Macaca fascicularis: one gene and its partner. The protein of the gene in region 1 interacts with the protein of each later gene in a biochemical or structural test. Links are inferred from orthologs where the notes say so. Each region holds a gene or a part of one and is shown in the gene's direction. Other genes may lie near its edges.

Region 1 (3,512 bases):
GCCTAAGGAAATGTAAAATCATGGTGGAAGGCAAAGGGGAAGCAAGGCATGTCTTACATGGTGGCAGGAGAGAGAAAGCGAAGAGGGAACTGCCAAACACTTTTAAACCATCAGATCTTGTGAGAAGTCACTATCACGAGAACAGCATGGGGAAAACTGCCCCCATAATCCATTCACCTCCCACCAGTCCCTCCGTAATACTTGTGGATTACAATTGCAAATGAGATTCGGGTGGGGACACAGAGCCAAACCATATCATTCTGCCCCTGACCCTCCCCAAGTCTCATGTCCTTTTCACATTTCAAAACCAATCATCCCTTCCCAACAGCCCTCCAAAGTCTTAAAACTCATTCCAGCATTAACTCAAAAGTCTATGTCCAAAGTCTCATCTGAGACAAGTCAAGTCCCTTCCCCCTATGAACCTGTAAAATCAAAAGCAAGTTAGTTACTTCCAAGATACAATGGAGTATAGGCATTGGGTAAATGTCCCCATTCCAAATGGGAGAAATTGGACAAAACAAGGGGGCCATAGGCCCCATGCAAGTCCAAAACCCGGCCAGGCAGTCATTAAATCTTAAAGCTCCAAAATCTCCTTTGACTCCAAGTCTCACATCCAGGCCATGCTGATACAAGGGCTAGATGCCCACAGCCTTGGGCAGTTCCAACCCTGTGGCTCTGCAGGGCATAGGCACTGTGCCTGCTTTCACAGGCTGGCATTAAGTGCCTGTGACTTTTCCAGGTGCATGGGGCAAGCTGTCAGTGGATCTACCATTCTGGGGTCTAGAGGACAGTGGCCATCTTCTTACAGCTCCACTAAACAGTTCCCTAGTGGTGACTCTTTGTGGGGGCTCCAAGCCCACATTTCCCTTCAGCACTGCCCTAGCAGAAGTTCTCCATGAGGGCTCTACCCCTGCAGCAGACTTCTGCCTGGCCATCTAGGCGTTTCCTAACATCCTCTGAAATCTCTGCAGAGGCTCCCAAACTTCAGCTCTTGTCTTTTGTGCACCCTCAGGCCCAACATCACATGGAAGCTGGCAACACTTGGGGCTTGCACCCTCTGAAGCAACAGCTCAAGCTGTACCTTTATTCCTTTTAGCCATGGCTGGAGCTGGAGCAGCTGGGATGTAGGCTATCATGTTCCAGGGCTGCACAGAGCAGTGGGGCCCACCCAGCCCACAAAACCGTTTTTCCCTCCTAGGGAAGATCTCTGACATGCCCTGGAGACATTTTCCCCATTGTCTTGTCTATTGACATTTAGCTCATCATTGCTTATGCAAATTGCTGTAGCCAGCATGAATTCCTCCCCAGAAAATGGGTTTTTATTTTCTCCCACGTGGTCAGGCTGCAAATTTTCCAAACCTTCATGCTCTGCTTCCCTTTTAAACGTAAGTTCCAATATCAGACCATCTCTTTGTGAACACACATGACTGAGTGCTTTCAGAAGCAGCCCGGTCACCTCTTGAATGCTTTGCTGCTTAGAAATTTCTTCTGCCACATATCCTAAATCATCTTTCTTAACTTCAAAGTTTCACAGATCTCTAGGGTGGGGACAAAATGCCACTAGTCTCTTCGCTAAAGCATAGCAAGAGTCACCTTTGCTCCAGTTCCCAGTAAGTTCCTCATCTCCATCTGAGGCCACCTCAGCCTGGACATCATTGTCCATATCACTATCAGCATTTTGGCCAAAACCATTCAACAAGTCTCTAGAAAGTTCCAAATTTTCCCACATTTACCTTTCTTCTTCTGAGCCCTCCAAACGATTCTAACTTCTGCCTGTTACACAATTCCAAAGTCACTTCCACATTTTCAGGTTATCTTTTAGCAGTACCCCACTCCTGGTACCAATTCTGTGTTAGTGTCTCTTACACTGCCGTAAAGATACTACCTGAGACTAGGTAATTTGTAAACAAAAAAGGTTTAATTAACTCACAAGATCACATGGCTGGGAAGGCCTCAGGAGAGTTATAATCATGTCAGAGGGTGAAGGGGAAGCAAGGCACATCTTACTTGCTGGCAGGAGAAAGAGAAAAGGGGGAACTGCTAAATACTTTTAAACCATCAGATCTTGTGAGAATTCACTATCACAAGAACAACATGGGAACAGTCACCCCCATAATCTAATCGCCCCCTAACATGTGGGGATAATAATTTGAGATGAGATTTGGGGGGGGGACTCAGAACCAAACCATATCAAGTCTCTATGAGATATCATATAAGCAATATTAAGGCAATTGTATTTCTTTCGATATGTAGAATGAATGTGTTTCAGTTCTCAACAATCTGAACACTTGATAATGAACCTGATGAGATACTACCGTCCTTGAAGTGTTGACCTGAATACATGTATAGAATTAAAGGGAGAAGTCACAGAATTCTGAAAACAGACTTATAGAAGTTCATGTATTCTGATAAAGTACTATAACCTGCTTAAGGAAAATTTTAAGGATAACACTTAATTGTTTTTAGTTAATGCCAGAAATGCACACAGATTTTAAACCGATTTCCAAAAATGATTTATCTTTTCTTCCTTGGCCAGGCTGAAACACTTTTCCAGGAAATCTGCCCCAGTGAAGATTTCTGTCCCCCTCCACCAAATCCTGAAGACATTGTCCTTGATGGAGACGGTTTACAGCCAGAGGCTTCAGAATCCAGTGCCATACCAGAGGCTAACTCAGAGACTTTCAAGGAAAGCACAAACCTTGGAAACCTAGAGGAGTCCTCTGAATAATGGATATACACCGAACTGGATACCCAACTTTGGAAATTTCTACTGGTCTCAGAGTCTACTTGATAGAAGGACTGTTTGAAAAATGTTAGAAAGCAACAGCAATTATAAGGCAAAATAGGTAATAGAAATCCAAAAGGGGATTTTCCTTATAGAGGACGTTACAAGAACACACAACACTTACAAAGCACATTGACTTGCTCATTTTGAATACCAAACTTGTGTGACTAGCAGATGAAAATTATAAATCAATTGATTCTCAGGAATGTAACTGTGGATATGAAAGTGATCCTATGCATTGTTAATAATTCCGTGGTCTTAGGACAATTTTGCTTACCACTATGGATCTTTGTTTGAAAGCCACATTTTCAGAACCAGCTCACATATTTTCTTTGGTTATTTGAATTATATTTTCTTTATGGACAAGAGCATCATAACATAATGATAAAAACATATAGAAAAACTAAAGTATCATGATCTAGATAGAAGCCTGTATTTAGAATACAGGTTTGTTTTGTTTTGTTTTGCTTTCTATGTTGAGAAGCATTGAAAATGCTAATACAAAGGTGTTTAGACATTGTTAAGAACAAGTCAGTAGTGTTTTTTAGTATCAGTAGTGATATTTGTTTGTAAATTATTTACATATTGGGAAAGGTCAATAATGAAGAAGTGAAAGAATGGAAGGAAATGTGTGGATAGGCTCATTGATATTTGGATGTTCTGTCTGTCAAATAACTAGAGTATTAGGCTAATTGTCTACAGACCTAATTTAATCCTGGCTGTCCTT
Region 2 (3,654 bases), on another chromosome or scaffold:
TGACTGGCTTATCTGAATCACCTGAAGAACCTTTTTTTGTATGCGTGTGAGAGACAGGGTCTCGCCCTGTTGCCCAGACTAGAGTGAATGGTGCAATCACAGCTCACTGCAGCCTCAACCTCCTGGGCTCAAGTGATCCTCCCACCTCAGCCTCCAGAGTAGCTGGGACCACAAGTATGTTCTACCACTCCTGGTTAAATTTTTGTATTTTTTGTAGAGACAGAGTTTCGCCATGTTGCCCAGGCTGGTCTCAAACTCCTGCGCTCAAGCAATCCACTCGTCTCGACCTCCCAAAGTGCTGGGATTACAGGCTTGAGCCACAATGCCCAGCCTTTGAAGAACCTTTTATTCGCTAGCATTTGTCCAGCCCCAGACCAGTGGGCTAGGGCCTAAATTTGTGCTGTCTTTCCTACCCCGCAACTCCATCCCTGTCGGGATGGAAAGATAGTGCTTTTAGGCCTGCCTTACCCAAATGTGTGCAAAAAGTCTCACCGAGCCCTCATTTGATTCCAGGTTTTGCCACCTCTCCCCTTGGAGATTCTGGCTCAGGTGGTCTGGATTGGAAAACACTGCCTTAGGCTGTCTGGGTACCTCTAGGTTCTTTAACACAAATATGAACATGTTCCTTTGTGGCAAAGGAAGGTGATATCACTGGGTATTTGGAAGGTTTTTGCATTATCTTTAGGTTGCCTTAACCTCATCACACAAAAATCACACTTTGTCTCTTGCTGAGTTTTCTTACTGGAAAACATATTTGGAGGAGTATTCTTTGAAGTATATTTGGTTTGGTGATATATTGGTGCTTTTTCTGCTTCAGATTTTAAACTTTAAAGCAGCAAATTGTCTGAGTGGTATATGTCTGCTCAAAGCCAAGGTCTTCCTCCTGGTGTTACTTCATCAAGCTAAAGAGCAGCCACTAAATGGAGAAACATCTAAGATAGCAGGGATACTGTTGGAATAGCAGAGCACTCTTATTAGTGAAGCTTCTTTAGAAGGAGTATATGGCCGGGCGCGGTGGCTCAAGCCTGTAATCCCAGCACTTTGGGAGGCCGAGGCGGGTGGATCACGTGGTCAGGAGATCGAGACTATCCTGGCTAACATGGTGAAACCCCGTCTCTACTAAAAATACAAAAAACTAGCCGGGTGTGGTGGCAGGCGCCTGTAGTCTCAGCTACTTGGGAGGCTGAGGCGGGAGAATGGCGTGAACCCGGGAGGCGGAGCTTGCAGTGAGCCAAGATCACGCCACTGCACCCCAGCCTGGGAGACACAGCGAGACTCCGTCTCAAAAAAAAAAAAAAAAAAAAAAAAGGAGTATATTTGCTGGCATCCTTCTAGAATGGGAAAAATAATACTAGGCTTTACCATTTGACCTGATTGTACCAAAACATGTAAGCAGCTTTTCCACATCTGCCCCACATCTGTACCTTGTATTTTTACCCAGAGAGAAAGCACAAAACTTCAAAAGTGTAATGCTGGGAAGGCTACTGGCATTGCCCTTTGCTGTGAGAGCAGTTTCTTGTCCTTCAGGTCAGGCAGATTCTTTCAAATGCTTCAAGTAATTCATGTCAGTTTCAGGACCTTCCTATTTGACTTATGCTTGTGGTTTTTCTCCAATTTCAGAGTCGGGAAGACATCACTCATGAACCAGTATGTGAATAAGAAATTCAGCAATCAGTACAAAGCCACAATAGGAGCTGACTTTCTGACCAAGGAGGTGATGGTGGATGACAGACTAGTCACAATGCAGGTAAGCATATGTCTTGGCTGTGCTAACCAGGCCTTGATAGTTCCTTTAGTCTTAATCTTTCCTCATGCATAGACATTTTTCTTCCCTGTTCTTCAAATCTTATTATCCTGTTTGTAGATAATTGGCTGATACTCAGTTAAATTTGAATTTCAGATCAATAGTGAATACTTTTTTGGTATACTTCTTGTATATCTCAGATACAACTTGCTAAGACACACTAAAATTTCTTCTTTTTTTAAAAAAAACTCAGATTTATCCTTTCTTGTTTTTTGTTGTTTTTGGTCTTGTTTGCTAAATTTGGCAACCTGCAGGTCTCTATCTTGTGTTTCTCTTGACGTTCTTGCCCAGTGCTTTAGGTAAACATATTTGTCTCACCTCAGTAGTGAGACATGAAGTTTCTTTATTTTTTTGACTTTCTATTTCATATGTAACTTCAAGAGTTGTGTGTCTATTGAGCCAATCTGTTTTTTTTTTATGTATCAGCTTATTAATCTTTCAAGGGTTTCCCTTTCAACAGTTAGGATAAGATGTAGATTCTTTCATGTGACTTGTTGAAAAGCCTTCACATTCTGGCTATAAACTGTTACTCCCTTTTTTTTTCCCCTTTGAGTCATTTTGTTTGTATACATGTATTATATCCCTAGAAAAGAACCCCTGAAGGGTGGATACCTTGAGCCCAGGAGTTCGAGCCTGCAGTAAACTGTGACTGCTCCATTATACTCCAGCCTGGGTGATGGAGTGAGACCCTGTCACTAAATTAAAAAAATAAAAGAATCCCATGATTTTCCCTCCTGTATTTTCATCTCTTTATTCATGGTCCGTGATGCCAGCTGAGGTTGTCAGTACAACCTGACTTTGAAACCAAACTATTGGGATAGGAGTAGATTATTCTGTCACTTTTCTAGATCTTTGAGTTGCACATCAAATCTGGGGCCATTCATTCCAGTTTTAACCTGCCTGTGAGGTTCACAGTAATTTTCCCAGCTCTGTGATCACCGATGATTTCAATTTTTCAATGTGATCATGTTTCGTTTCACACTTAGAACCAGATGATGACTTGGGAGCACAGCCTAATAAGTACCTGGTGTTTGCCTTTGAGAGCATCAACCAAGACATTCATGCACACCATTATGGAGGCAAGGAAAGATGGTAGAAATAGCTGCTACTCACTTTTTTTTGTCTCCTTCCAGTCCTTCTGAATCATGTGCTGCTCTTACAGACTTGTGTTGGTGGATATGTCTCTGCTTCCAGCAGGGCCTGTATACCCACCGGAAGTCTCCAACTTTTCGCTCAGATCTTTTGAAACTTCTATCTCTGTGGCAGATGTTCTTTCCTACATGCTTCTAGAGGCAAATTCCAATCCCATTGTAGTCCTAGCAAGTACCTGGCAGATAGTGGGGGCTCGCTGAAATGTGTGAATGATGTAGGTTAAAGGTAGAAGTTTGTACATGTGTTGACCTCGAGCTGTGGCATGCTCCTAGAGGATCAGGACTCTTAATTGACTGACACTTCTAGGACAGAGCTAGTATGAATCTCTCATCCTCACCTTACCTATACACATACACCTAGAGATCTTCAAAATGTAACTGCAGTTTAAGCAAGTCAAGCTTGAGAGTAGAACTGGAAAACCTTGGCCCAAGGAATTGGCAAAACTTGTGTCTGCAGTTGTTGGAGAATCTCAGTCCCACTATCCACATGTACAGAAATCTTTGTCTCAAAGAATTTAACATAAATCTCTGTCAATCCTGGCAAAAACAAGGGTAAGACTACTCTGTAGGGACATTTACTACTGTAGGAGAGAAGATGAATTCATAACCACATGAGGAAATAATGTACCACAAGAGATGTTCACAATGACTAGAGATGTTCTAAAAAGAAATAGAAACCATAATGGAAAGGGATACTAT

What was found. The genes of interacting proteins can lie anywhere in the genome.
Region 2: the proteins of CHM (region 1) and RAB7A are reported together in a solved structure, tested with the Homo sapiens proteins (2 studies listed by BioGRID, with this or other methods). The link is inferred for Macaca fascicularis from reciprocal best matches to the Homo sapiens genes CHM and RAB7A.

Annotation. Positions count from the first base shown.
Region 1 is NC_088395.1:92,472,149-92,475,660, reverse strand, and holds part of CHM (rab proteins geranylgeranyltransferase component A 1), read left to right. Parts: intron 1-2,536; coding exon 2,537-2,711; coding exon of another isoform or gene 2,712-2,728; 3' UTR 2,729-3,512. UniProt on the Homo sapiens protein: Substrate-binding subunit of the Rab geranylgeranyltransferase (GGTase) complex.
Region 2 is NC_088376.1:154,624,611-154,628,264, reverse strand, and holds part of RAB7A (ras-related protein Rab-7a), read left to right. Parts: intron 1-1,620; coding exon 1,621-1,747; intron 1,748-3,654.